7 linked regions of the Canis lupus familiaris genome follow. The protein of the gene in region 1 interacts with the protein of each later gene in a biochemical or structural test. Links are inferred from orthologs where the notes say so. Each region holds a gene or a part of one and is shown in the gene's direction. Other genes may lie near its edges.

Region 1 (4,425 bases):
TACAAATGGAAACTGATAATAAGCGGAAAATAAAATCCGTAATATCTTTAAAAAAGGTATCACTATGAATTGGTTGCCTATCCTTGTAAAACAGCAGTAGATTAAGTTAGGAGCTATGCTTTATAATCCCAGCTGTGCCTTTAACTCACTAACTCATTAACATAATATTCCATGTTGTAGTTTCCCTTCATCTACCTGAATATTTATTTTAGATGAATCTTTACATATTTTACCAATAGTTAAATACTGTGTTGTAGCATTTTCTGAGATATTAGTAATAGTTTATTTTCATCTTAACTCAGATTCGAGTGAGAGTTGAAAAGGATCCAGAACTTGGATTCAGCATATCGGGAGGTGTTGGGGGCCGAGGAAATCCATTCAGACCTGAAGATGATGTGAGTTTGTTTGTATGTTCTTGAGACACCCAGGAGATTTTATTCACTAACTTAATGCCCCTTATATGTAAGTAAAAATCCAATAGATACTTATATAAATATAGAATCACCTTTTGTTTTCTGTTGTTCAGCTTTTTTAGAAATGTGATCCACTTCAAATTTAATTGTTTGAGGAAAACAAATTAAACTGCCAATTTTACAAGTCCATCACATTGTGAAGTGATTTTTAAATTTAGTTATTACTTTTCTGCACATCCTAGAAGTAACTTTGTCACTTTAAGAGAAGTCACTATACTCAAGTCAGAATTACCAGCACCAAACATAACAAGGGATTGTAACAATATTCAGAGAAGGCAGGAAGATAACTTGTACAATGATTCAAATATATGCCTACTGTCAAAGAAAAATCATCTCTTCTATTGATGCATACTGTTTTCCATTAAGTGTTTCCCTTTTTTGTTGTTATTAAAGGGTATATTTGTAACAAGGGTACAGCCTGAGGGACCAGCATCCAAATTATTACAACCGGGTGATAAAATTATTCAGGTAACTAATATACATCTTTTTATTATTTTCTTAACTTTACATTTTATAACATCTGCTTCCTCATCAAGGAATTATTAAATGCCATATTTTAAAAATAATCATTTTTTGAAGTTTATCATTAAAAATCTGTGGATGAAAATAGTGGCATTTCTTATAGGCCACTCAGATATTTTCATAGTTTAAGATATTTCTTCCTTGAACCTTGGAAAATCATATGGATCTTTTTAAATACATGTTTGATACATCTTAGCATTTTGTTTAAGTTCAGGAATATTCTTTAAAATAAGATGGTGAAAGAATCTTGTTTGTTATAGGAATTAAAGAATTCATATCAAGCACTTAGAACTGTGTGTTTGATATATAGTAAGACCTCAATAAGTATTAAGCCTAAATTATAAGAAATGTAGTGTTTATCTGATGGTCCAAAGTGATGGGAAGAGTAGGCCTTGCCCTCTGCTGTCCTTGCATCTTGGGGACTCATTTACATGTTAGCACATACACATAACCCAATGTCTGGCTCTGTGTCTTAGCCAGGTGCTTCCTGACATTGGGTTGCCTCATAAGAATCATCTGAAAAGTAGACAAGGTACAGGCTCCCGGGTCCCACCTTCAAAGATTTTATTTTCATAGATGTGAAATAGGGCCCAGGAGTCTGTGTGATGCTGTAGATTGCCAAAATGATTCTTACTTTCAGCCAGGTTTGTGCACCGTCAGCAAAAATAGATGTATAAATGCAAATAAATTACTGTGGAATGTTTTTCCTAAAGACGTTTTTCTTCTTTCTTCTAGGCTAATGGCTACAGTTTTATCAATATTGAACATGGACAAGCAGTGTCCTTGCTAAAAACTTTCCAGAATGCAGTAGAACTCATCATTGTACGAGAGGTTTCCTCATAAGAATTGTGGACAAAGAAAGGGAAGGCAGCAAGATTTATTGGAAGATATTTGCAGGGGAAATTAATATTTTGACTATTTTTATATGTAAAGAAGAACTCAAAAAATTATGTTCAAATTTGTACATTAATGAAATAATGGAACTTGTGGTTAGAGGGAAAGAACCACTGTACAGTATATAGGGGAGACTGTTGAATTCATACCATATAAAAGTTCTTGTTAGGTTTTTAAACATAGCAATCAAGGCCACAAAAACAAACATATGTTGTTTTTGTATAGATTGTAGGTTTATTTTTGGATTTCATACACATGACTGAACTCTGTGCAAGGCTCTAGTTAGCCTTGATTGTAGCCCAGAGACAGATGGCAGAGCTATCTGTCTCATAGCTTTTATGCCCTTATTTTTATTCAACTCGTATTAATGTTTTTCTGCTGAAACTACTTTTTTTTTTTTTAATGTGGGCAAGAGATTTGAAGTGTTGGTTTTTGCTATGTGCATATTGAATTGAAGAGTGAGTAGGTGAAGGTGGTACTGGTGGGTTCACTTTCCAAGGCCAGATTAAAACAGTTAATTCCTATAAAAATCTGGAAGCAAAGACTGAAAAAACAGCTGTGTTAATGTGTTTTTATTAATAAAATAATGCAATAAAAATGTAATGTCTTTTTAAAGAAATAAAAAGAGACAATAATTGCATTTTATGAACTCTACAGGATCTGTTCTTGTCATAGCCATTGACAATACATTTGCTACTGGTGATTCAATTTTTAATTTTTTAGTCACAGGAAATTTTTAACTCTTCTGTAGATGCATGTCCATGCATTTTTTTTCTGATATGGAAATCTCTTGAGTTTTTGCAAATGGTGGTCCTTGCAATCTGTTTTATAATTAGTATTCCATTTTAATCTTAATTTATAATTTTTATTTTAAGCAGCAAATGAAACTAAAATGGCCAGTTTTAAGATTGTGTTGCTGTAACACAAAGTGTAAGCAGATTTAGGAAAGCCTCTTGATTTTGTTTGGTCTCACATTGCCTTGGTAAAGTAAAAGGAAACAGTACGCATGGAGCTAGGAAACCAAAGCAAGTTTGTGAAATTGGCACAGTGATAGAGAATTGCTGTGGAGCGTTGTAGAGCAAAGGGATGGGTCCTTGAGGCCTGCCAGTGTGTAAAGGTGTTCAAATAAAGGGCTGTTCCTACAGGTAACATTAAATGTGAACTCGACACTTCAGAGTCTTTAAAGGGTTTCTAAGTGTATCAGTGTAATAGAATAATGTTTTACCACCAGCTGCCTTTGTTCTTCGTTAGTGTAACAAATATTTCATAGATGTTTATTAATTTGTTTATCCAAACTATTAATTTTGTTTTTGTTCTGTCTGTGTAATTCAATAAAATTTGAGTAACATGCAAAGGTAAGAATTAATGCATGGTTATTTGGACCAGAAAAAAGTGCCACAGAAGACCAATAACTGTTTTTTAGTCGAGGCTAGTCTGGAGCCTTTCATTAGAGCAATATTCAGTTATTGCAATTCATTTTTAATTACTAAGAAATATAATTTTGGAATTTTTAATCTGTTATGCTTTGTTCTTCAACTTTATTTTAATTACGACTTTTATAGGATGAGCAAAAATGGCAGTTTACATTATTTTTGCAAAAAAGTTAGACTCGTTCCTTTCTTGCTAGTCAGAGTAAATAGGCAGTAATTTTGAAAAGATGTGAACTCAAATATTGCACTTCTTTCAAGATGTTATCATTTGGTTATTGTACTGTATAGTTTTAATAATATTGTGATTGAAACCCTTTAACAACTCTTTGTAAATTTTAACTCATTTTAGTTGTTTTTTCAGTACTATTTACATAGGAATTGATTTTTATGGATATAGTAGAAGAAATGTGATGTATTTTGATAAAATTCATTTACTGTATGTGTGTTGTAATCTCTAAAAAAAAATAATGACAAACAGATTCTTAAGACAAGCCTTGGTGTTCCCTTTATTCATAGGTTATTTTTTTTTCCATAGGTTATTTTAAAATATTAATTTTGACACATCACTTTTTGTTAATTTCAGTCAATTTTTCAGTCACATTCTACTTTTAATAAGGAATACATAAAATAGATATAATTGCGACATTTTCAACTGAACTACTTTATCTCAAATCAGATACACAGAGATAATTTTGGAAAAGGAAATGAGACACAGAAAACAACTGATTGAACAGTGATCTAACCTTAAGTTAATTGTCTGCATATTATACTGATACAAGTGCAGCAAGCGTTACATGTACTAGTATTGTATTTTCCTCTAATTAATTTTTTTAAGATTTTTTTTTATTTATTTATGAGAGACAGAGAGAGAGAGAGAGAGAGAGGCAGAGACACAGGCAGAGGGAGAAGCAGGCTCCATGCAGGGAGCCCAACATGGGACTCGATCCTGGGTCTCCAGGATCACGCTCTGGGCTGAAGGTGGCACTTAACCACTGAGCCACCCGGGCTGCCCTTCCACTAATTAATTTTAAAAATTTTTAATGTTCTTATATTATATGTAGTTGAAAAAGAAATTATATAACAGAAAAGTTAATCGCAGGGACGCC
Region 2 (4,379 bases), on another chromosome or scaffold:
CAGGCTCTGCGGCCTGTGAAAGTCTCAAAAGATGGGGAGGGCCCGACGTTCCAGGACGAATGTGACCCCAGGGTGATTCTGTAAATAGAGATCTGGAGACCTTCCCCCCCGGGAGTAAACATCTCAGGGAACGTGCCGCTGTTAGGAGTCGGCAACGGAAGGGGCTTGTCCTCGGAGACAGCTTCCGAGGTGTACTTTCTGGATCCTGTGTCTGAACGCAGCTCGCCTCTTGCCCTAGGAGGCTGTGACTGGGGAGCCCTGTGCTTACCGCTCCCCTGCTCTGTCACTTCGTAAAACTCGGGTGGGTTTAGGCTCCGAGGCCGACAGGATTCAGCCTGGAGCAGCAGGTGGTCAAGCGCTGAATCCTGCTAATGGCTCCAGAAAGCCATTTCTCCTGTGCTCCCCAAGTGCTTCCAGTAATAGAAACTGGTGGATGCCCTGAATTCTGACTGTCGTGATCCTCCCCAGCTCTCGGGGCCACCCTGCGTTCTCGGGAGTCCTGTCGGACCCACTGAATGCAAAAGCATAGGAGACAGAAGACCAGGGCAGTCTTTCCAGGTCCTGCTGAGGACGTGAATTAGCTGGACCTGGAGGGAGCCGACCTAGAAGAGAGGCCAGGAATTCCAGGTGACAGAGGAGCCAGATCGGGGCTGCGAGGAAGATGCGATCAGCAAGTGGCAGATCGGAAACAGAAGTGGGCAGAGAGAGGCAAGGGAGCCGGCCGGGGTGGGTCCGGGAGACGGGAGATGATGGATGAAATTATGAGGGGAATGTCTGATGGGTGGAGGATAAAATCCGCACAAACTGGGATTTTAAACATAAGGAGATAGTCCCCTGAGAAGATGTAGGAGGAAGCATTGAGGTGAACATGGAGGAACCGCGAGGAGGAAAAAAAAAAAAAAAAAAAAAGATGATTATCAGAGAAGTAGAAACTGGGATTAGCTCCTAGGCTGTGGGTGGTAGGGAGTGTTCTGGAGTCTGGGGAACAGAAAAACAACAACAGGGACATGCTTCAGGGCGGCAGGAAGTGCCAACCTAAGACAGGCCGCTGGGGAGTCTCCGAAGGCCCCCGTGTCCTCACTTCTGTCCTCCCCCTAACTGAGACTGTGGTGCATGGACATAGGGGTTTGGGGTGAGTACCAGACAGCAGAGGCCGAGGTCACTGTCGCCCTGTTCAGAGCCGGCAGCATGATGGACGTGCATGATGTCTGTGCTCTGCTGGCAGCGTTCACCGTCTCCGTCGGTCCTCACCAAGAGACGGGGGAGGTTCCATGTGCCCTGCACTTCGTAGGTGAGGAGACTGAGGCTTGTGGAAGCCGTGGAGCCTGGGTGAAAGCAGGCCGGTTCCTCCAGCGGCCCTGATCCTGAATCAAGACAGAGAGGGGTGGAGAGGCACTAAATTCAGAAGTATTTGATGAGTGGAAATTCAGAAAAAAAAAAAAAAAAAAGAAAACCTATGCCTTGAGATCAATGAATGATGGAAGCAGTTGTAAGGTGACCGCGTCGTTGTCGTGGAAGGAAGAGAGTGACCGCGAGAGTTAAGACCTGGCATGAGCGAAAGGGACGGCCACGTGGGTGGAGTGGAGAGAGGAGAAATAATTGAGTTGCCATGAAAATAGCCCGAGCGGGAATCAGAACCAAAGAAGAGGGCAGGAGGGTGGTTGGGTGAGGAGGAGACGTAACCGGCTGCGGTGGTCCCTCGGGGCTTCGGGTGCCTTGCTTGCTTGAGGCCCAGAAGAGCGGGGTCTGGGAAGGAGGCGCCGTCGGCTCTTTACGCGTCGATGCTTTTTACTCTGCTCCCATGCTTGTTCCCTTCCTTTTTCAGGTGGAGTGCTGCTTCTGCGCCGCCGCAGCTGAAGGATGCTCTGCGCTCCCTGGCTTTCCATGGAGACCTCCGAGCCGGGTTGGCCCCCGCTGACACCTCGCCTCGTACCTTCTCTACCTCCCAAGCTGTTCGCCTGTGTCGCGAGCTCGGCCCGGGCCCCGCGCCCCGGAGGCCTGTGCTGAACCCAGGGAGCGGCCGCGGGCTCTGGGCGGCGATGGCCCGACGCGCTTCCAGCCGCTCGCCCGCTCGGGTCAAGCCGTCACGAGAAGGCAAGTGCTAAGACTAAAGGCTTATTTGCATTTTATTTAAATCTGATGGACCGAGCTTTGGACGATTTCCATGGCAGAAAAATCCATTCCGTTTTCCAGGCACAAGTGCTGGCCGTCAGATAGCCGCGGCCTTTGAATCCCGGGCGGCGGCGGTGGCCAGTTGGGGCCGCGCTTCCAGACTGCGCCTGGGCCCCGGGCGCTGGGGGCCCCGGCGGGGACTTGGGCCCGGCGCGCGCTACCCGGACGGGCCGGGCCTGGAGAGCAGCGCTCGTCCCTGGGAACCGAGAGCATGGGGCGTGCTGGTTTAAAAACGGAAAATGCAAAGTTGGACTGAAAATATCCTCAGTCTTCCGAGCAATCTGCTGAACGGTTCCAAACTTACCTTAGTGTGGTGAGGCGGGGAGCTGCCCCACTTTCCGTCGCCCGCCTCCCGCGGCCATGGAGGTCGCGATGGTGAGCGCCGAGAGCTCGGGCTGCAACAGCCACATGCCCTACGGCTACGCGGCGCAGGCCCGGGCCCGGGAGCGGGAGCGGCTGGCCCAGTCGAGGGCCGCGGCGGCCGCGGCGGTGGCGGCGGCCACGGCCGCGGCCGCGGAGGGCGTTGGGGGCCCCGGGGGCGGCGCGCACCAGCAGCACCAGCAGCATCAGCAGCACCAGCAGCAGCAGCTGCAGCAGCAGCAGCCCCGCGGCACCTGCCCCGCACTCGAGCCCCAGGGCGGCCGTGTGGCCCGGAGGCGCCGGCGCTCGCGGCCCAACCGGAGGAGGCCTCAGCCGCGGCCCGGCGGCTTCCCGCACGGCTCGGACCTGCTGCCCAGCGGCTCGGAGGAGAGGATCCTGAGGGAGCTGAGCGACGAGGACGAGGACGACGAGGACGACGAGGACGCCGAGGAGGAGGCCCGGTTGGGCCGCGGCCAGGACGACCGCGCGGCCCACGGCTCCTGCAGCGACCTGCTGCCCCGGGACGACGGCGCCTACGGCCCGGGCCGGCCCAGCGGCTGCTGCGAGCGGGTGGTCATCAACGTGTCGGGCCTGCGCTTCGAGACCCAGATGAAGACCCTGGCCCAGTTTCCCGACACCTTGCTGGGCGACCCCGAGAAGAGGACGCAGTACTTTGACCCGCTGCGAAACGAGTATTTCTTCGACAGGAACCGGCCGAGCTTCGACGCCATCCTGTACTACTACCAGTCGGGCGGCCGCCTCAAGAGGCCGGTCAACGTGCCCTTCGACATCTTCACGGAGGAGGTGAAGTTCTACCAGCTGGGAGAGGAGGCCCTGCTCAAGTTCCGGGAGGACGAGGGCTTTGTGCGGGAGGAGGAGGACCGGGCCCTGCCGGAGAACGAGTTTAAAAAGCAGATCTGGCTCCTCTTCGAGTACCCGGAGAGCTCCAGCCCGGCCAGGGGCATCGCCATCGTGTCCGTCCTGGTCATCTTGATCTCCATCGTCATCTTCTGCCTGGAAACCCTGCCCGAGTTCCGGGACGACAGGGACCTCATCATGGCACTGGGCGCGGGCGGACACGGCGGGTCGCTGAACGACTCCTCGGCGCCCCACCTAGAGAACTCAGGGCACACCATCTTCAACGACCCCTTCTTCATCGTGGAGACCGTCTGTATCGTCTGGTTCTCCTTCGAGTTCGTGGTTCGCTGCTTCGCTTGTCCCAGCCAAGCGCTCTTCTTCAAAAACATCATGAACATCATTGACATTGTCTCCATTTTGCCTTACTTCATCACGCTGGGCACCGATCTGGCCCAGCACCAGGGGGGCGGCAACGGGCAGCAGCAGCAGGCCATGTCCTTTGCCATCCTCAGGATCATCCGTCTGGTCCGCGTGTTCCGGATCTTCAAGCTGTCCAGGCACTCCAAGGGCCTGCAGATCCTGGGCCACACGCTCCGAGCCAGCATGCGGGAGCTGGGCCTTCTGATCTTCTTCCTCTTCATCGGGGTCATCCTCTTCTCCAGCGCCGTGTACTTCGCGGAGGCCGATGAGCCCACCACCCATTTCCAGAGCATCCCAGATGCGTTTTGGTGGGCCGTGGTGACCATGACGACTGTGGGCTACGGGGACATGAAGCCCATCACCGTGGGGGGCAAGATCGTGGGGTCCCTGTGTGCCATCGCAGGTGTCTTAACCATCGCTTTGCCAGTGCCAGTGATTGTCTCTAACTTTAACTATTTCTACCACAGAGAGACTGAGAATGAGGAGCAGACGCAGCTGACACAGAATGCGGTCAGTTGCCCGTACCTCCCCTCTAATTTGCTGAAGAAATTTCGGAGCTCTACTTCTTC
Region 3 (3,686 bases), on another chromosome or scaffold:
CAAACCTAATATAGGGCTTGGTGTACGGAAGGCACTCATAAATGTTAGTTGAATGACTGAATGGATAAATAGACCTAACTCTAGCTTTATTCTTTCTGACTCAAAAGTGTTTCTGTCCACGGTCTCCTAGGTTTTCCCAAGGTTTCACAGCTCAATACCTAATGGCAAGAAAGCATGCCCTTAAAAAGGCATTATTTATGAAATTTCTCTAAGAACTAATAGGATACATTATATTTTAAAAATCTCTTCTTAAAAATTATGTGACTTAATAGGGACAGATAAGGGCCTGGGTGTGTTTTTGTTTTTGTTTTGTTCTTTATTTTTTGTTATGCTTATTTGGTTCTTTATGATTCAAAATTGCCAGAAAAACAGGAAAATGAGGTCTGATCAATTGTTTCAACCTCTTTCCCTCCACAAAAATCAATATAAATAACTTATCTCTAAATACTTCTAGCATTTCTCTTAAATTGCTGTTAAAAAACAAAAGGGTCCATTCTCAATCGAATCTTGGAAAATGACTTTGGAGAGGAGGAGAGAGTGAGGACAAAAATGTCACGCAGTTAGCACGTCCCTCTTGGGACAGAGTCTGCCTTGGGCACTGCTTGTTTTCCTGGAGGCTGGAGTTTCTCATGAAGGCCGTTTTTCCATCAGTGTGTCAACCTGAACAAGCTGGAACCAGTAGCAACAGAAGTCCGGCTTATCAACAAGTCTATGGAGTTGCTGGATGAGAGGAAGTTCTGGGCTGGTATCGTGTTCACCGGAATCACTCCGGGCAGTATTGAGCTGCCCCGTCACGTCAAGTACAAGATCCGAATGGACATTGACAATGTGGAGAGGACAAATAAAATCAAGGATGGGTGAGTTCAAGCCCACCACACCAGCCAGTTTGGGGGAAGTCAAGAGCAGCTAATATGACTAGAGGCACTTTGTTTTAAGTACTAATTTGGTAGAAATGTCACCAAAAAATAACTCCAATTGGTGGCATGATTTTGGTGAAAGTGGTACATCCCGTTGCCAGAGACAGTTTTTTCAAAGGTCCTAAAATAATCATCTTTTGATTCAGCATTTTCGCTCAAGAGAATTAATCCCACAGCATTAAATCAACAGGAAAAAAAGAAGAAATGGCTTTAGGATTCCTGTGCTAGCATTATCCTATTTTTTATAAAAAGGAGTGAGCAACCAACGTAAAAGGGAATGATTAAACAGATTTTGGCATGTCCACTTGCTGCAACGTTAGGTAGCCAAGGAAGAGTTTAAAACTAAACCAACCTTCTGGTGGTGGTATGCTCACTCTGATTGTATCAGTTTTAATATATGCACAGGACTGAGAGCAGAAAGTAAGACACAAATATGTTAGATGAGAACAGTGACTCGGTAACGATGGTGGATTGTGAGTGATTGGCTCTTTTAAATGTACGGTTCTAAGGAATATTTGATCACCTGTGATGTGATTTTAGGTACTGGGACCCGGGTCCTCGGGCTGACCCCTTTGAGGATATGCGGTACGTCTGGGGGGGCTTTGCCTACTTGCAAGATGTGGTGGAGCAGGCGATCATCAGGGTGCTGACGGGCACCGAGAGGAAAACTGGCGTCTATGTGCAACAGATGCCCTACCCCTGTTACGTCGATGACATGTAAGTTACCACCAAGCCACCATCTTCACGTAACAGGTTAACACTGTCCTTAGAGAGAGTACCTACACACACACATATGCATGTGCATATACCCAAAGGAGGTAGGATGCTTTGATTTTAATGATTTCATATGTGTTGTCACAAAAAAAAAAAAGTCTTTTCTGAAATTCAGTGAATAACTTTAGAAAATAAGATGCCATATGTAGGTAGTTCCAGCCACATCACTGACACACATGTGCACATCCTGGTAATCCTCCCTCTTTTTTCATCTGTGGTTACCAGCAGTTATATTGTTTACATACCCTACCCTTTTGGTCAAAGTTTTGCTCAATCTGCAATTTTTTTTTTTTAAGATTTTATTTATTTGTCCATGAGAGACACACAGAGAGAGGCAGAGACACAGGCAGAGGGAGAAGTAGGCTCCCTGTGGGGAGCCCGATGTGGGACTCGATCCCAGGACCTGGGATGAGGACCTGAGCCAAAGGCAGACACACTCAACCGCTGAGCCACCCAGGTGCCCTCAATCTGCAAATTCAACATGTGGCGTGACAAACACCTGCAAGCACATACACACATACATAGATCCCTCAAACACAGAAACATTGATCTAGACCTATAAAAGCTGACTCCATGTCAGTTCATCCGCTTACTCTTTATAAGTGGTAAACCACATTTTGAAGCAATCCAAATAAAACTGAACAAGGCCTTTTTATCTTAGACTTTAGATAATCTTTCTGTGCTTAGTTACTAAGCTGCCAAGATCTTGTGGGAACTGTGCCTTTGGATCTAATGATTTCTTTTTAGTTTTTTAGAGAGAGAGAAAAAAAGAGAGAGAGGAGCAGGGCAGGGGTTTGAGGAAGGGTCAGAGGGAGAGAGAGAATCTTAAGCAGGCTCTACACGGGTGTGGGGGCCCCTTCTCATGACCCCGAGATCATGACCTGAGCCAAAACCAAGAGTTGGACGCTGAACCCACTGAGCCACCTCAGCACCCCCTCTAAAGATTTCTTGTAGGAGAGCATGGGCCAAGGTGTAGTTATTACAAGCATCTGAGATATGTAACGTCTCTTCCAAATTCTGGAAATTCTCTTATTCTCTGTTGTGATATATATGTGTAGAGATCAGAGTACAGAAGGAGCAGAGCTCCTCTTCTAAACATTTGCCCTCTGCTTTGCACTGAGCAACCGTTTCCTTGTGTGGCTCACTCTAGCTCTTCCAAGTCACCCTTGGAATTATCTTGTTTTTTACCTTCAGAAAAATTAGTCAGACTTTTCCAAAAGAAACCCGCCTCCCCCCCACCCCCCCACTACCCACTCAGCCCAGATTTACTCTAGAAAGGGTGTCTTAAGAGCAGGACAGGATGGGAGCTTAGTGGCATTAAGGGACTTTGCCTGTTGTCACATTGCTGGGAAGTGCATAAGTAGTAAAGCTGAGACTTGGGCCTGGCATTCCAGGGTCCAAATTCTGTGTCCCTTTTACTTCACGGTGCTCCATTTCCTATTTTGGTTTGGAATCTGAATTATTACAAGAGCTGTCTGGAGTCTTTTTTTTGTATTATCTGTGATAAAAGTTGGGCAAGTCAGTAGTGAGATGACCCTTGAAGGTGTTGAACTCTTGAGAGAGAAGGGGTTGTTTTTTTTGTTTCTTTGTTTTAGTGCTTTAAAAGTTACGTAGTTACCTAGTGATTTAAGCAAGTCCCAGAGTAATGGTGCTTGGCAGCACCTGGTAGGTCTAACAACGGTCACCACCACGTTGTGCTCCTCATGAAGCATGTGATGACCTGTATGTTTTGGAGCTTGGAGAGCCTGCCCCTTGTTCACTCAGTCTTAGTCTTGGGGCTTCTGCTGGCATGTGGGTCCAGGGGGGCACTGGCCTCTGAGCCTGATTCTCACTCCCTCTCATTCTCCCCCACCCTTCTCTGGGGCCTCCAGCTTCCTGCGGGTGATGAGCCGGTCCATGCCTCTGTTCATGACGCTGGCCTGGATCTACTCCGTGGCCGTGATCATCAAGGGCATCGTGTACGAGAAGGAGGCACGGCTGAAGGAGACCATGCGC
Region 4 (4,441 bases), on another chromosome or scaffold:
CACCTGTAGGTTAGGAAGACACACCTCTGAGGGTGTGATGTGAGTCACCTGGAGTGAGATGTGGGCAGTGCAGGTAGCAGGAACTTCTCAAACCACAGCCAGGCCTGGCCCCCAAGGAAGGGCTCGACAAGACTGAGGCTGTCTCCACAGAGAGTCACTGGGAGCAGAGATGCCATCCCACCTGCAGGACTGAGGGTGACCACTCTCCAGGCCTCCCGCTGTCCCTTAACAAAGGCCACTCTGTCCTGGGCTCAGCTCAGCTGGAGCTCTGGCTTACCAGTAAAAGACAGTGTCAGGGATGGACATGGGAGACTGGGGAGGGAAATGTAGGGAGCTTTGGGGAGCAGAGACTCCGGATTCAGTGGGAGGGTTCTCTTGTCTGCCTGGGGAAAGCATAGTGGGCCAGCTGGGAGGTGGGTCATTTCACAACAGCTCCACCAGGGGTCATCGCAGCCCCAGACTGGCCGCGGGTGGGGGGGCGCAGAGGGCTAAACCAACCTCTTCGGGGCCCTCCACCCACCCTCCTTTCCCGGAGCTCAGAGAGACAGATGTCTAGCCAGTGGGATGGTGGCGAGGGGACTGGTGGTAGAAAAATTAGGTTTGAGACTTCTGTGCTGTCCCGCTGATGGTTGTGTGGGTGTGTAGGTGGTGTGTGTTTATGTGTGTGTGTATACAGATAGGCACACACTTAATGAGAATCTAGTGATCACAGGTACACACAGGTGGCCCTGTGTACGTGTGAACAGGGGCGTGGTCAGAGACTCAGACAATGGTATGGACATAAGTAACATGAATGGACATGCGTGAATGTGTGAGCATGACCGTGGGTATGGGTGTGTGTACACGCAGGCATACATGCGATGAAATCTAGCGTCCGGGATACGTGGCATTTGTGTTCACTTGGGCAGGAGAATAGATATGACTATACATGTATAATAATACAAGTATCCGCACGAGCCCGATGTGAGTGTGGGAGCGTGCTTGCGTGAGCAATAAGCATGCGTGGGAACGGGTGTGACGCACCTTGGAAGGTCTGTGTGAACATACGAAGGGTGGTTTATGTGTATAGCTGAGAACGTGTGAGTGTGGCATTTGTGGGGAGACACATCCATGAGTGTGTACCGGAGCAAGTGTGAGTGTGAGTGTGAGTGTGCGAGCTGGCGTGTGCCCCGGGGGGCTCTGGGGAATGAGTGTGAAAGGGGACTGGCGTGTAGAACGAGCCCGTGTGAGCTCCCCAAGGGTGCGAGAGGACCTGGTGGGATGGGCTCGTCCATGTGCCCCCGCGTGTGTGCGTGTGCGCGCGTGTGCGTGCGCGTGCAGGCGGGCCAGCGGGTGCCAGGGGCCCCCAGCCCCGGCGGTCCCCGGCTGAGCCCAGGCGCACCCGGCCGGGCAGCGCGGCCCAGGCTCCCACCTGAAGATTGGCCCGGTCCTCAGGTTTCACTCATGACCCTGTGACATCAGCAGCAGCTGTCCCCGCCGCCCGCCCCCCGGCCAAGTCCCCCGGAGTCCCAGCCCCAGCCCGAGGTGGGCGACGGCGCTCCAGGCTCGGCCGCAAGCCCTCGGCTCCCGCCGGCAGTGAGTACCGCACCCCGCCCGGCCGCACCCCGAGGGCAGGCCACCCCGAGGAGCAGGGCGCCCTGGCCCCGGGCCCAGCCTGGCTTCAGGGAGGCCACCGCTTGGCTCCGGGTGCCGTCGTCCTCCCGGCCTGCCCCGGGCCCTGCTCTGCCACGGCCCGCGCCCGGCTCCCCGCGCCCCGACCCTGCGGTCCGAGCCTGGCCTGGGCCGCCCTCGGTGGGCCGCTCTCCGCCCTCGGCCGGTCGGGCCCCCTCCCTCGGCGGCGGCTGCGCTCGGCTCCAGGCGGGCACGGTGACCCCGGGGACGGACGGGGCTGAGTTTCTTCAGGGGAGGAGAGCACAGGAGCCAAACGCCTGTCCCCAGCCTGTCCCCACGGGCAGCTCAGGCTGTTCACGGTGGCTCCGAAGGCAGGGCTGTGGGGGGAGGAGAGCGGCGGGAGGCCGGGCGGGGGGTGGTGGCGGCTCCTTTGCTCTGCTGAAACAGGAATCTTCCAGATGCCAGCGGAGGACACATCTCAGGCCGCACCGCCCAGGCTCTGCCCACCGCCCCTGCCGCTCCCGCAGGCCTGGGGCGAGGCTGGGCTCCTTTCCTGGGCAAGTGGGGAAGGCAGAAAGCCTGGCCCGAGGGGAAGAAGATGGGGCCGCCGCACTGAGGGGGCTTCGGGGGGATTCAGGAGGAGCCTCAGGGCCAGGAGTGGGGCCCGGGGCAGAGCGCCGGGAGAGCCAGGCACCCCAACACCACCACCACCGGGCGGCGGGGGCGGGCAGCCGCTAGTGGAAGAAGCCGAGAGGCCTGAGCAGAGGTAGGACGAGGGGTTTGGGAGGAGTGTGGTGTTGCTTCCCAGAGGGGGGCATTTGTTCAAAGATTGGGGATCCCCATGTAGAGGGCCCTGAGGGTGGGATGGGGGCTTTGAGGCTTTCCAAGGAGGCACTGGATGGCACAGCGGGCCTGAGCGCCTTCCCGCTCCACACGGTTAAGGACTATGTCTGGCGGCCCCTCCCCCTGCTCGGGCACAGGGCCTGGGCACCATGAGGGCTCCCAATGCCCCAGGGTGGGGAGGGGGCCCTCCAGGGGGATCCTAAACATGTCCCCCTCCCACCCATACCACCTGCAGCGGGGCCCTGCGTGGAAACAAATCACCCCGGAGCCTGGGAAGGTCAGAGCCCAAACAAGCCTTGAAGGCCTTTGAGGTTAGCCTCTATGATGAGCCATCTTGAGGAGACTAGCTGGAGACCAGTTTGGCGCCGGTCTGGCTATTCTGGAGAGGGGAAGGGGTTGACAGAGAGGCAGGGAAGAGCCAATGGTGGGCATTGTTGTCCTTGGTCTATGACAAAGGCTGTGACTGCCCCCCAGAGCCCTAAGCGGAGATAAGGAGCCCCCAGGGGTGGCAGCGGGATGGGGACACAGGTGGAAGACTGGTCCTCCCAGGACCCTCCAGATTCTTCTAGGGTCATCCCCAGTCCCCTGCCCACAGCTAGTGGCCTCCTTCTATGTGGTAGTGTTGTGGACAGTTGTGGTTACCACACTAGTATTTGGAGCCACATGACCTGTGTGGGCGAAGCAGGGTCCCAGACATAACCCAAAAGGCCCTCTCCCGTCTCCATCCCAGGCAACTCTCAGGGGACTGGCTGGGATTTTTATTTTTATTTTTTTATTTATTTATTTTTTTTAATTTTTATTTATTTATGATAGTCACAGAGAGAGAGAGAGGCACAGAGACACAGGCAGAGGGAGAAGCAGGCTCCATGCACCGGGAGCCCGACGTGGGATTCGATCCCGGGTCTCCAGGATCGCGCCCTGGGCCAAAGGCAGGCGCCAAACCGCTGCGCCACCCAGGGATCCCTGGGATTTTTATTTTTTTAGTCAGGTTTTGGGAAGATAATTAAGGGTCCTTCCTAGGTGACCCTGTCCTAGCCTGGTTCTGCTTGTCATTTCTGGTTGGGAACCTGCCTGAGGTGGGGCTCAGGACTTGGAATCACCTTCCCAGCTCTAGGCTGGCCTGAGTGCCAAGGCGTGCCTACTGTTTTCCCTCACCAGGCCTTCTGGGTCCCACCCCCAGGCCAGGTCATGGGAAGCCCTGAGTTCAATACTGAAAGCACAAAACTCCTGCCAGACGATGGGCAGTGGTCCTGACAGGGTCCCTGCCTCCAGAGGCAACTCTGGCCACCAGAACAGAGAAAAGTATAGAGAGTGACAAGGATGGGGCGGGGGTAGTCCAGCTGGGGATGGAGTTGAGAGAAGTCTCCAGGGCCAGGCGCAGCCAGAGAGGAGACAAGGGAGTGGACCTTGCAGAGAGAAGTGGAAAGGCTCGCTCTCTCTCTCCAGGTGATAGGACAGAGATGCATTGAAGGGAGATGAAAAATCTGAGACCGAGTTCCCAAAGAGCAGGTAGGGAGAGGAGGGGACGAAGGAGGGTGGACGTCAACAAGCAGGGTGCAGGTTCTACAAGCCTTCCGTTCCTCGACTCCCCTTAAGGGAGGGCTCAGGCTCTGAGGGTCCTGCCACTTGCCTGCGGCACACAGCTGGTGAGGGGCACTGATGCTGGTACGGGGCTGCATGGGGGGCAGAGCTCGTCCCTGAGACTTGGAGGGGGGGTGGGGGTTCCAGCAGGCAGCCCTAGGGCTGGCTGCAGGTGCCAGGCCTCCTGCAGGGGTCCCCAGCTCGGCAGTGGCAGAGACAGGTCATGGTTCCCAGGGGCTCCTTCAAGAGGTGCTCCAGGAGCTGGGGGAAGCCAGGGTTCCCTCTACCCCCACCACCCCTACCCCAGGCCTTTCATGTGCTCTGGCCCCTTTTCTGCCTCATCAGCAACAGCTATTTTTATTCCCTGAGGTTTTCAGTCAACAGCCATCGTTGGGGGGATGGGGCA
Region 5 (4,339 bases), on another chromosome or scaffold:
CACAAACATGGTCTTCTTATGTCTTACTGACATGCCAAAATCACCAAAATAAGGAACTTAAGAATGTCAGTGGCTACATGACAGAGCAGTATCATGCTTAAAGCCTAATATTTTCACGTCGAGTCACCTGAATAGCCAGTATCTAAATATGAAAGTTGTTTACATGAAACAACTGTTTTGACAAACTAGCACAAAGTGACTAAATGAAAGCAAAGAACTTGTGATTAAAGCTCAAGATCTTTCTGTGTACTGATTGCACGTCTCAGTTCACTTAACAAATTCGAGGTAAACTGGAAAATACCCAGAAAACAGCATCTATCAACTGTAATCTATTCCCTCCGCTCTCTGAGATCATCAAAAGGCATGGAGAACTGACTTTGTCACCTGTCTTTCCCCACCCTGTAGACTCTTAGGGGAAAGAGCGTGCACCTGCCAGGCTCCCGGAGCAGAATGTACACACAGGTGGGTCTTTAATAAATATCCTTCCATGGAGAGATTAGAGGTTTGCTTGGAGAAGCGGGGAACACGCTATCTTACGTGACGACTCACTGTCAGCCTGCTTCCTTGCCAAAATATCATTCAAAGGAAATCTTGTTTGAGTCTCCTTCAGGTGGGGCTTTAAGTTTTTAGACCCAACATTTTGAGGCAAGGTCTGCCTCAGGGACAGAGGGGTGCTTGGATGCAGACCAAGTAGAATTCAGGTGGGTCAGTGACGTCAGGAAGAAGCAGCGAGTTAATGGGTAGGGTGCAAACTCACCTGGAGTAGCCGAAGCTGCACACAGGTCAAAGGTCAAAGGTCAAAGTCTCGGGGGCTCCCGGAGGCAAGACGAGCGAAATGCCCACTCCTAGGCTCTCCAGGGTTCCTACAAAGGCTCAGCGGTCGCCGCCTTGGAGGTGAGGCGAGGAACGAACCCTACGTGCACAGCTGGGCTTGACAGGAAGCCGAAGCCCCAGCTGCCTCGGGTTCCCGAGCCTGCTCCCGGGAACCCACGCACCTCCTCCCTGCGCCCCCGCCCGCCCCCAAACCCCAGGCACCTTCAGCCTCCCTCCCCGCCTGCTTCGGGCCCTCTCGCTCTTAACAGCATCGGTCTCTATGGCGACCTGAAACCGCGGCTCTCATTGGCCCGTTCAACGTGAGGGCCGGGCCAATGGGGAGGGCCGGCCTGCCGCGCCCGGCCAATGGGCTGCGCGGGGGGGCGGGGCGGGGACGGCGGCGTGCTGACGTTCCCGGGAGCCCGGGGCGGGCTGGGCGCGCGCGCTGGCGGCCGGGCGGGCGGCGGCGGCGGCCTCTGGGCAGCAGAGGGGGCTCCGGCGCTGAGTCCGGGTCGACGCCGGCCGCGCAGGCGGCGCCATGGGCACCGGCTAGAGGGGCCCGCGGGCCGCCGCCGCCGCGGGGGTGGTGGGAGAGCCGCTCCGGGGGCGGGGGCGGGCGGGGGAGGGGGGGCGGGCCGCCGCTGGGCCGCGGCACTTTTCTAATTTCCTCGGGTGCCGCAGCGGCGACCCCTCTGCGCGGATGTCCCCGGGCCCGCGAGCGACGGCGGGCGCAGCCTAACCGGGAAAGTAAGTGTGCGGGTCCGGGGGGCGGGCTCGGGGGTGTGTGGGGGGGGGCGGCGCGCCGCTCCGGGCCCCAGACCCAGACCCAGACCCAGACCCCGGCCCCAGACCCCGGCGCCCGCGCCCGAGCCCAAGCCCGAGCCCGAGCCCGCGCCGGCCGTGCGGGGCGCGGGGGTCGGCGCCTCCCTCCCTCCTGCCGCTCGCTGCGTCCCAGCGCCCCGCGGCCGCCCGGCTTCCCCGCCCCGCCGCGTGCTCCTGCCCGCACTCGCCTGCCGGCGCCCCTCCCCCCGGCGGCGCACAAGTTTCCCCCGCATTGCTCTCCCCGGAGCCCCCCGCCCCGCGCCGGACGCCGCGCCGGAGCCCCCCGGACGGCTGCCCGCGCCGGGCCCGCGCCCCCCAGCGCTCGGGGCGGCGCGTCGGGCCCTCCGGCCGCTCTCCTGCCTCCCACGCCCGGGTTGCCTGCCCCGGTTGCCTGCCCCGGTTGCCCCCGAGCCCCGCGCTCCCGCCGGGCTGCCCGCCGCCCTGGCCGGCGCGCCCCGCGCCCTCGGCGGCGCAGCCCCCGCTCCACCCGTCGCGGCCCCCAGCCCGGGGCTTCCCCGGTGCCGCCCTGCGCCTGCCAGGAGTTGAAGCGGAGCTGCGGCACCCCCAGCCCGGGCGGCTCCGGGGTCCCCCCCCCGCCCCCGGCCGGGAAGCGAGGGCTGGAGCGGCGGGGCCGGGATCGGCGCGGCTGAGTGCGACAGCGGCGGGCGCGGGCAGGGGAGGCGCCGCGGCCGCCCGGGGCGCAGCGATAGGCAGGTGTGTGTGTCCGGGGGAAGGGGGGGCGCGCAGCGGGCTCGTCGGCTGGCGACAGATTGTGCAGGAATGCGAGGAATGCACCAGGGGCATAGTCCGGGCGGCCCGCCGCCGCTGCACTAGCGCCTTCCCGGCCCGGCTCCCGCCGCGCAGCCCGAGGTCGCCGGAGCATCCTCGGAGCTGGTGAGCGAAGCTGCGCTCCCCCGCGCCCGGCTCCCCGCGCCTCGCTCCCCCGCTCCCGGCTCCCGGCTCCCGGCTCCCCGCGCCTCGCTCCCCCGCTCCCGGCTCCCCGCGCCTCGCTCCTCGCTCCCTGCGGCAGACGGCGGCGGAGGGGAAGCGCGGCGGCTGTGTCGGGCTTCCGCTAGCCTCTAGCCTGGGTTTTGCTGCATTGGTCTCCAGGACCGGGGTTTTGAGGCGGAGGGTGGTGTAGCCAAGGTTATTCATCATTGCACAAGGTTCTTGGCAAGTTTGGTTTGCAAGGTTTGAATAGAGCCTGGTTTTTACGAGGGTTTTTTGAAAGCCTGCAGGAAAGGTGCCCAAGGTTCTTGGAGTAGTGAGCTTGCAGCCAACGCATTTTAGCTCTAGCAAAAATGTCTGTTAATGCTCATGGGTAGGCATGTGTTGCAAGAGAACTCGAATGCATCACTTTGCTATCATAAGAATTGTAATTTTTTTCTCGTCATGCTGGGTTGTGTTTAGACCTCTTATAATACATGATGAATAGAAACAGAGAAGCAGTGTTTGGTCAGCGATGGGACAGATAGAACTGTCTGGTACAGCTAAATTCGGGGCGTGTCAGTTACCACTGGAAGTAACACGGGGACAACACAATCATGTATATTTCAAGATGTAATTTATTAGTTGAGGTCGTCGTTCTTTTTGTTACCGAGTTTGACTGAAAAACATAAATAGAACCCTCCAACTTTTAAAGAATTGTAGTCATGTATAAAAATCATAATGATGCATATATATTTTTTGGTCGAATTTTATTTTCTTTAATGCAGAAAAGCAGATTTTTGACAGTGCTTTTCTAGAATTGGACTTAGATTATTTTATTTTAAAAGGGGAAGTAGAAGACAGCTTCTCTTCTTGAATGCAGTATATTGCTATAGAAGTATCTTCTTGTGCCTGTGAAACAGTTATGGAAATGGTAACATGAAAATGAGAACAACTGAGGTCCAAAATAACATTTCTGGATGTTGAAAAGCATACTATGTGTGCCTTTCTTTGACACAGTTTGCTCTGGAGGTTGAGTTTACTATAAGCCTCTCCACACTTGGTTATTTTGTATCAGATTCAGGAAAATAATAAGTTGATTGTCTAGCTGTCTTCCAATACCTACTTTGTGTGGAGCAAATGCATTGAATAGTATAAGATGAGAACCTTTTAGTTAGGACTCAACAGAAAGGAAAGATAGAAGGGGGGAAATAAAACCCAAAACTTTGCACCTGGAAACGTTGCGTCTTTTGCCTGCTACATTGTTTTTTAGGTATGTCCTTAATCTGTGGATCTTTTAATTTAGAGGCTTAACTCTAAATTAGTAACACTGTATTGGATATTGGGACGTGTTTATAGATGCCAACAGGAAACTTGTTATGTAACAATATCATATTACAACAGAGTAGAGCACCTGCTTATTTGATTTGATGTGAAGATTAGAAAGTAAAAGCACTTTCAGTTTCTCTGCTACATTAGAAATTGAAACAACTGGTCTAAGTGTATAGGTTATGTATATACATGATTGGCTGTACAAATAGTTTTACTTGCTTCAAGTAAAGGTAGGCTTTTAGTTAGAAATATATTTTAGTTGTTATAGATATTTGAAGGGAAGTTTCAAAAATAGTGATCATTCACAATCAATAACTGTGTTTTGGCCAAAGTCTATTCCCTCACCAACCCCCACTATTACATAAGAAGAAGGTGCTGCATTTCACATATTGTATGTTACCACATATTGTATGTTATGCTGAAGATTCCAAAGATTGTGGAACTA
Region 6 (3,686 bases), on another chromosome or scaffold:
GTGTGTACACACACACAAACACATACACACATAGAGGATGTTATGCTAAGTGAAATTAATTAATTGTATAGAGAAAGGTGCAAATACAATATGATCTCACCTAATGTGTAGTGTATATTGTATGTTTAAAAGTTGATAAGACAGTAGATTTTTGTTCTGTCTTTTTTTGTTTGTTTTGTTTTTTTTTTTTAGAGAGAGGAGGTTGGGGAGGGGCAGTGAGAGAGACAGGAGTTCGATTTCATGACCCTGAGATTTCAGCTGAAATTCGGAGTCATATGCCTAACTGAGCCACCCATGTGGTTTGATGAGAGAGTAGATCTTGAAAGTTCTCACCACAAGAAAAAGAATTTTTAACTATGTGTGATGTTGGACATTATATTATTGTGGTGATCATTTCACTATATGTACAAATATGAAAGCCATTTATGTTGTATACTGGAAACTAATGTAGTGCTATGTCAGTTTTATCTCCAGAAAAGTGGGGAAAATATTTTTTCCAAATTATCTTTTATTAATTAGTTGAAACCAGAGATCCTTGTTCTTTTTGTAGTAAAAACTACTGTTCGTCTCACCTGATAGTTAAGAGAAGGAAAAAGAAAAGATTCAAGAAATATCAAAGTATGGAGAAAAGACAATGATACAAAGAATGAAATTGGATAGGGAAAAGTACTTTTTTGAGTTAATTTGGCTAAGTAATCATTTTCCCCTCCTATAATTTGAGGCATGATTCTAAATGTTAAGATTTTAAACATATATTTTTTATAACTTAAGATTTAGCTTTCAGTTGTCTTTTATTTTCTATTAAATAGAATTGGTGTAGATTTAATTTTAATGTTTGATTTTGTTAAAACAGCCTTCTCCCTGAAATTTCTTAAGCTTTCCATTTTAAATTCAACCTTATTATTCTAACAGCCATCACAAAAGTTTGCAGTTTGTAGGATATGTCTTTAAATTTACCTGATGTTTATTAGCATATTTAAAGGTTTGTTGTTGTTGTTGTTATCTGTTTGTTTTCAAACAGGTATGGCTATTTATTGGCTGATTAGGGTTTGTTCTAGTGGCTGAATCCCTATCTCCTCAGCTCCCCAGTCAACCTCATATCAGTTTTTGAGTTATTAGGTTCTATATCTTGTTACATTTTGTTTTCTACTTGTTGGTTATCTTACCCTTGCTCATTGTGTTTAGGGAATTTAAATCTACTCCAAAAAATGATACTGTTAATTCCCAAACCTAGCTTGGGTCTGTGATGTTGAGATAGGTCCTGCCATGAAAGGAACTTAGGTCCTTGTGTGTGTGTGTGTATATTTATATATAAACATATACGTATATATGGGTATCGGTGTGTACACATACACATAGTTTTATTTATAGTGTTCAGCTTTTTAATTCATGCAATGGGAAAGCTATATGTCCTGTAAGAGAAAGCACTTGTAAGCCAAATTTCTTCGTTGGCTCTATGTTCCTTTTTACACTTTTCTAATAATTAAAGAAACATAGTTGCCTTAGATTGATGATTTAAAACCAGATTAAGGTCATAGCAGTGGCCTCAAGAAGCTAGTGTCATTGCTGTAAAAGCAGCTGGTTTTTGTTTTTAAGTGAGATTTAGTAGAAGGATTACTGGAATGTTTTTTGGCTTTTAAGAATTGATCATTGGATATTAATAAAAATCTTTTAAGTTGACCATGAATGACTTTTCCATTATTTTATCTCTGAGAAGAATTTTAGAAAAATACCCATTGTGGATTCAGTTTAATGCTGATTTTAATGATTTCTCCTCTGTTTGTTTATAGGACTGATTGTATAGAAAAAAAAGACAGCCCTGAAGTGTATTTTTGTTGCTGTGAGGGCAATATGTGTAACGAAAGGTTTTCTTATTTTCCGGAGATGGAAGTCACACAGCGTAAGTTCACAGGGAAAATACATAGATCTGTTCAACTAGTACACTGAAAGCAAAACATATTTTGTGTTGATGGAATAATTTACTCCTACCTTCTCCTACTCTTGTTTTTCTCCTAAAATTTGATGCTATAAATCAATAAATACTTATTGTGGAATTTTGTAGACCAAAGCTGAATTGTTTTTTTCCTTCCATTTTCCACAGCTACTTCGAACCCAGTTACACCTAAGCCACCCTATTACAACATATTGCTTTATTCCTTGGTGCCACTTATGTTGATTGCGGGGATTGTTATTTGTGCATTTTGGGTGTATAGGCATCATAAGATGGCCTACCCTCCTGTACTTGTTCCAACTCAAGTAAGTTGTCTTGTACCTTGTGCTGTTTTAAGTTGTATATTTTACAGAACTATTACTGTGGTGAAACCCACTGGGTTGCTATAAGTCATTTTCTTTTGGTGTTACTTTTTGAATGCTTATTGTTATGGCAACTATAGCTAATTTTCCAAACTTAGTAATTTGCTGTGTCCTAAACTTTTCTCACTTTGGAGCTGAGGTAAGGTAGAACAAAGGGTATTCTGTTCTTTGGACAGTTTCACTGTCATTGTAATACTTTCAAGTGTGAGATTTACCCAGCTTTGTTTCTTGAGAAGTAATTGATGGATAAGTGATATCATAACCTGTCCTTTCTCTTCTTTCTTCCATTCCTTAATTCTTTTGCCTTTTTCAAGACTACTTGCCAAAATATCCTTTTAACCATAGGGAGAGTTTTAGTAAGGTGATCCAGAAAGTGTGGAAAAGGAGGTTTCACAAAGGCATCAGGAAGCTATATACGAAAAAATGTTTCTGGGAAGAGGAGCAGATGAGCAATGCTTTTCATCATTTATTAGTAATAGTTCAAGTGTTTTTTGTTGTTATTGTTTTTGCAGCATATCAAGTGTGTACTGAAAACTAAAAAGCTTTTTTTTTAATACTAAAAATTTTTTCAATGCCCTCGATGCTCCCTCTCCTGACCCCAAATCTACCTTAAACTATAGATATGGTGGGTAATCAGATTAAATTCATGAAATTTTCCTCTTTCTCTATCACATAGACAGTTGGTACTGGTACAATGGTTTACAAGTTCTTTTAATATAAGTAGCTAATATTCTGCAAACTCAGGAAGGGTGAAAACTGTAGTTATACTTGTTTGCGACATCTTCAAACTCTAGTTTTAACTGTGTTTCTTTCAACTCTTAAGATCAGATTACCTTGGCCTTTTGGATCTGTGGTTTAACTGTTACTCTAATACTAGGATTAATGGTTAAAACGTGGTAGAAGAATGGTAAAGTCCTATAATTTAATGACCAAAACAACTTCTTCTCTGTAAGCTTTATTTACATAACATACTACTTTCTCAGTACTTGGCAGCAATCTGTTAGCATTAGGTTATTGATCCACATAATCTTTGTAAGATGTATACATGGAGAAATAAACCCAAAGGTAAAATACCTTATTCAGTAAATTAGGTAAACACTGTTTTGTGCAGCTGAAATATTTTAACTTTTAAACCTTAGTTACCAACTTGTGGATTTATTAAAAATTATCTCTGAAAGTATTTTAAAATAAAAATTTTCGCTGCCTAATAAACAGATGTAGCTTACTCCAGATGGCCATAGGATCCACTTTATCTGCCTTTGGTGGTAACTATTTTTTGATTTCTATTTTTAGAAGAAAGAGTATTTAGTACTTAGTGTCTGAATTTACCCTAGATTTGTGATATAATAGAAGAAAACTAGAAACTGAATTGA
Region 7 (3,686 bases), on another chromosome or scaffold:
CCCTGCACCCTGCCCGCCTGCACAGGGCCTACGAGGAAGTGGCAGATGATGCCGGCGAGCTGATGGAGGAGCGGCCCCCGTTTCCTGCTGCGACCGCACCCCTGGCCCAGCCAGAACGGGGCAGCCTGGGCAGCCTGGACCGAGTGGTCCGGCGGTCGCCCTCCGTCGACAGTGCCCGTAAGGAGCCGCGGTGGCGGGACCCCGAGCTGCCGGAGGTCCTGGCCATGCTGCGGCACCCCGTGGACCCCGTGAAAGCCAACGCGGCCGCCTACCTGCAGCACCTGTGCTTCGAGAATGAGGGTGTCAAGCGGCGCGTGCGGCAGCTGCGGGGCCTTCCTCTGCTCGTGGCTCTGCTGGACCACCCGAGGGCGGAGGTGCGACGGCGGGCCTGCGGGGCCCTGCGAAACCTCTCCTACGGCCGAGACACGGACAACAAGGCTGCCATCCGGGACTGTGGCGGCGTGCCGGCTCTGGTGCGCCTGCTGCGGGCAGCCCGGGACAACGAGGTCCGAGAGCTCGTCACAGGTGAGTGCACCGTCATCCCTTGGGGGAAGGAGAGCAAGGTTTGGCCAGGAACAGATGTCCCCTCCCACCCACCCGTGCAGTCAGGAGTCCAGCTGCTGGGGGTAGGCATGGCTTAGACTCAGAGGTCCTCAGTGTCTCTGCCCCTTGGGCAGGCCCCCTTGCCACCTGCCCCTATGTACCCATACTCCTCCAGGTCCCACCCTCCAGGGGGAGCTGTGCTGGGGGAATTGTGCCTTAGGGGACCCAGTTGGCCAGGTAGGGTAATATGACCACCTTCAGGTGGAGCCAGTGGAGGGGTAGTGCCATTCACCCATGTGGCTCAGAGGGGATAGGGGAAGAGAAGGCACCTGCTTGTCTAGCCACAGGCTCCCCACCAGCCCTTGCTCTGTGTCCCAGCCCCTCTGGTGCTTCCTCCCGGCTGGTAGTACTGTTAGGTGCCTTTGCACATCTTGCCTGGGCCAGGGTGGGCACCCAGGTCCTCTCACGGCTTTTGTCACTATCTTCTGGTCTGACCTGGGGCACGTCCTGAGCGAGGTCACGTGGGGAGGTAGGGAGGTCAGTGCTTTGTGTGGTCAGCACTGGCTGGTTGATGGCGCCCCGCAGGCACACTCTGGAACCTGTCATCCTACGAGCCCCTGAAGATGGTCATCATTGACCACGGCCTGCAGACGCTGACTCATGAGGTCATTGTGCCCCACTCGGGCTGGGAGCGTGAGCCCAATGAGGATTCCAAGCCAAGGGATGCCGAGTGGACAACAGTCTTCAAGAACACATCGGGTTGCTTGAGGTGTGGGTGGGGGCCGGGTTCGGGCACTCTCTGTGCAGCCGCCCAGGGCTATTCTTGGTCAAGGAGGCAGGAGCCAAGCACTAGAGCCTGTGTGCGTACCTGGGAATATCCTCAGTAACATGGAAGACAGTTAGCCCCCCAAGTTTTAGGAGCTTCACATCCACACTACAGTTCCTGCCTGAGTCCTGAGAATGGGACTGGATGGGGCTATTATACTCAGCCCCAAGGGAAGCCTCTGGACAAGGTCTGCCACCGTCTCATGTAGTACCCTTTGTCTCCAGCCCCACTCACCTTTGACCCATGCTCCCATCACCACGGCAGCCAGGATAGGGGGAGCTAGGACCCTCATCCTGTCTGCCTCAGAGGCCTCATTTCACATCCTCAGACCTCTGCCCTAACCCTCCCACCCTGGGTATCCCTACAGAGTCCTCACAGGTGGTCCTGGGTCTCCAGGGTCCTGCCTGTTCATCAGAATGTACCCCCATGGCTTTATGGGGTCTTCACGGGGTAAGGTGGAACCCAGAACTGCCACTGGGGTAGGGGGAGCCCAGAATTATCTGTGCATGGATTCAGGACTCTGGACCCCGTTCTGTCCCCTTTCAGTTCTGCTGGGATCATAGAAGGCCCCCTGCCCCACACACATGGCAGACTAGGGCTCTACCCTAGGGTCTCAGTGGTCAGGACACTCAATAGCCCTGACAGGGTGGCATCAGACCCTATTTTACAGATGAAGACAAGACCCCAAGGCTGGGAGTGGGGAGTGCTTGGCTGGGAAGTTCCCATGGGAGCCAGGGGTCACAGGGCTCGCTCTTGGCCACCCAGGAACGTGAGTTCAGATGGCGCAGAGGCCCGGCGGCGGCTCCGGGAATGTGAAGGGCTGGTGGATGCCCTGCTGCACGCCCTGCAGTCAGCTGTGGGCAGGAAGGACACGGACAACAAGGTGAGTGGAGCAGGATGGGGAGAGCCTAGCAGGCCCCAGCAGGATCAGTCTCACAACCTCCTACAAAGGTTCGAGAGACGGAGCAAGAACTGGGCCCAGGGGGCCTGACCCCTTTGGGCAACACAGGAGGAATAGGTGTGGGGGTCTGGGGCAGCACCCTGGGTGTGGGCCACCCCACAGTGGCCACACTGGAGCGGACACCCGTGACCTCCCAGACGAGGTCCTACATGCAGTAGGCTCTCCCACCTTTTTCCTTCCTCAGCCCTCCCTGGGAGTCCTCAGCCACGTGGGTCCCCATCTCTACACCCCCAGTTCCTCCCGTGTACACTGGCTGTGGCTGGGCTTCCCCAGGAGGGCTAGCAGCCTCTCTGCCCACCAGACCCTGCTCCATCAACTCTCCTCTCCCCACAGTCGGTAGAGAATTGCGTGTGTATCATGCGGAACCTGTCCTACCACGTACACAAGGAGGTGCCTGGGGCTGACAGGTACCAAGAGGCTGAGCCTGGGCCTCCAGGCAGTGCTGCAGGCTCCCAGCGCCGGAGGAGGGATGACGCTGGCTGTTTCGGTGGCAAGAAGGCCAAAGGTGTGTGGGAGGGACGGGGTACCACTCTAGGACTCCGCCTGCCACTCCAGGATGAAGGGCCCCCATACCCATGGCCATCACAGAAGCTAGAGACCACCTGGTCAGCTCCTGATGGGCAGGTGGGAAAGCAGGTTGCCGAGGAGGGTGTACTGAGCCCCTGGGTCATCCGGCTGACCGGCCAGCCTTCCCTCATCTGCACTGTGGGCCCCCCAGGGGAGGGCAGGAGTGAATCTATGTGGTGTTCCTGCTGCTGCCTGGACTCAGCTCTGGGAGGGGTTCTTTGGGCCCATGTGTGGAAAGTGCTGAAGATGATGCCGCCTCCTGGCGTTCACAGAGCACCTGAAGACCTTGAGATGCCCACCCTGCCTTCACACCATCCCAACCGGCATTTGCTGGGTACAGGTTCCAGGATCTACATTCCCTGGCACCTGCCCTCCTCCCCTGCCCCCCATGTGGACCTGTTCTGACCCCAGGCCTCCACTTTTTTTGTTCCACTTCTGGGCACTCAGCCCTCCAGAGTAATCTGGGTGGGATTCCACGACCCGTCTATTCAACTTGGGGTGTGCAGTGGGAAGTCGAGGCCTCCTGGGAGGGCATGGGAGGGCGCTGCCCACTCAGGCTCGTCTCCTCTCTCCTGTGCTTCCTCCGGCCGCCCAGAGGAGTGGTTCCATCAAGGTGAGTCCCTGTTTGTCCTGCTGTCCAGGCCTGGTGGGTGCGCTGGGCACCAGGGAGGTGCCGCTCACCCTGTTGTCCAGGCGGTCATCTCCATGACGACTGCAGGGCGGTCCAGCCTCAGGGCCCTGCCCCATCCCTAGTAGTCCCTTCCCTAGGCAGCCATTTCCATGACAACT

Evidence for each region.
Region 2: the proteins of ERBIN (region 1) and KCNA4 interact in a test that uses a peptide from one of them, tested with the Homo sapiens proteins (3 studies listed by BioGRID and IntAct, with this or other methods). The link is inferred for Canis lupus familiaris from reciprocal best matches to the Homo sapiens genes ERBIN and KCNA4.
Region 3: the proteins of ERBIN (region 1) and ABCA1 interact in a test that uses a peptide from one of them, tested with the Homo sapiens proteins (2 studies listed by BioGRID and IntAct). The link is inferred for Canis lupus familiaris from reciprocal best matches to the Homo sapiens genes ERBIN and ABCA1.
Region 4: the proteins of ERBIN (region 1) and SCN4A interact in a test that uses a peptide from one of them, tested with the Homo sapiens proteins (2 studies listed by BioGRID and IntAct). The link is inferred for Canis lupus familiaris from reciprocal best matches to the Homo sapiens genes ERBIN and SCN4A.
Region 5: the proteins of ERBIN (region 1) and PKP4 form a complex in vitro, tested with the Homo sapiens proteins (4 studies listed by BioGRID and IntAct, with this or other methods). The link is inferred for Canis lupus familiaris from reciprocal best matches to the Homo sapiens genes ERBIN and PKP4.
Region 6: the proteins of ERBIN (region 1) and ACVR2A interact in a test that uses a peptide from one of them, tested with the Homo sapiens proteins (2 studies listed by BioGRID and IntAct). The link is inferred for Canis lupus familiaris from reciprocal best matches to the Homo sapiens genes ERBIN and ACVR2A.
Region 7: the proteins of ERBIN (region 1) and ARVCF interact in a test that uses a peptide from one of them, tested with the Homo sapiens proteins (3 studies listed by BioGRID and IntAct, with this or other methods). The link is inferred for Canis lupus familiaris from reciprocal best matches to the Homo sapiens genes ERBIN and ARVCF.

The regions. Positions count from the first base shown.
Region 1 is NC_049223.1:50,959,493-50,963,917, forward strand, and holds the end of ERBIN (erbin), read left to right. Parts: intron 1-302; coding exon 303-395; intron 396-866; coding exon 867-941; intron 942-1,730; coding exon 1,731-1,838; 3' UTR 1,839-3,810; downstream 3,811-4,425. UniProt on the Homo sapiens protein: Acts as an adapter for the receptor ERBB2, in epithelia. By binding the unphosphorylated 'Tyr-1248' of receptor ERBB2, it may contribute to stabilize this unphosphorylated state.
Region 2 is NC_049242.1:51,057,456-51,061,834, reverse strand, and holds the start of KCNA4 (potassium voltage-gated channel subfamily A member 4), read left to right. Parts: upstream 1-1,546; 5' UTR 1,547-2,532; coding exon 2,533-4,379. UniProt on the Homo sapiens protein: Voltage-gated potassium channel that mediates transmembrane potassium transport in excitable membranes. Forms tetrameric potassium-selective channels through which potassium ions pass in accordance with their electrochemical gradient.
Region 3 is NC_049232.1:61,170,543-61,174,228, reverse strand, and holds part of ABCA1 (phospholipid-transporting ATPase ABCA1), read left to right. Parts: intron 1-651; coding exon 652-857; intron 858-1,457; coding exon 1,458-1,634; intron 1,635-3,562; coding exon 3,563-3,686. UniProt on the Homo sapiens protein: Catalyzes the translocation of specific phospholipids from the cytoplasmic to the extracellular/lumenal leaflet of membrane coupled to the hydrolysis of ATP.
Region 4 is NC_049230.1:15,031,483-15,035,923, forward strand, and holds the start of SCN4A (sodium channel protein type 4 subunit alpha), read left to right. Parts: upstream 1-1,479; 5' UTR 1,480-1,575; intron 1,576-2,139; exon of another isoform or gene 2,140-2,377; intron 2,378-4,441. UniProt on the Homo sapiens protein: Pore-forming subunit of Nav1.4, a voltage-gated sodium (Nav) channel that directly mediates the depolarizing phase of action potentials in excitable membranes.
Region 5 is NC_049257.1:4,568,340-4,572,678, forward strand, and holds the start of PKP4 (plakophilin-4), read left to right. Parts: upstream 1-1,432; 5' UTR 1,433-1,560; intron 1,561-2,419; exon of another isoform or gene 2,420-2,529; intron 2,530-4,339. UniProt on the Homo sapiens protein: Plays a role as a regulator of Rho activity during cytokinesis. May play a role in junctional plaques.
Region 6 is NC_049240.1:51,343,754-51,347,439, forward strand, and holds part of ACVR2A (activin receptor type-2A), read left to right. Parts: intron 1-1,790; coding exon 1,791-1,900; intron 1,901-2,101; coding exon 2,102-2,256; intron 2,257-3,686. UniProt on the Homo sapiens protein: On ligand binding, forms a receptor complex consisting of two type II and two type I transmembrane serine/threonine kinases.
Region 7 is NC_049247.1:29,511,315-29,515,000, forward strand, and holds part of ARVCF (armadillo repeat protein deleted in velo-cardio-facial syndrome), read left to right. Parts: intron 1-25; coding exon 26-525; intron 526-1,128; coding exon 1,129-1,312; intron 1,313-2,134; coding exon 2,135-2,252; intron 2,253-2,663; coding exon 2,664-2,835; intron 2,836-3,492; coding exon 3,493-3,510; intron 3,511-3,686. UniProt on the Homo sapiens protein: Contributes to the regulation of alternative splicing of pre-mRNAs.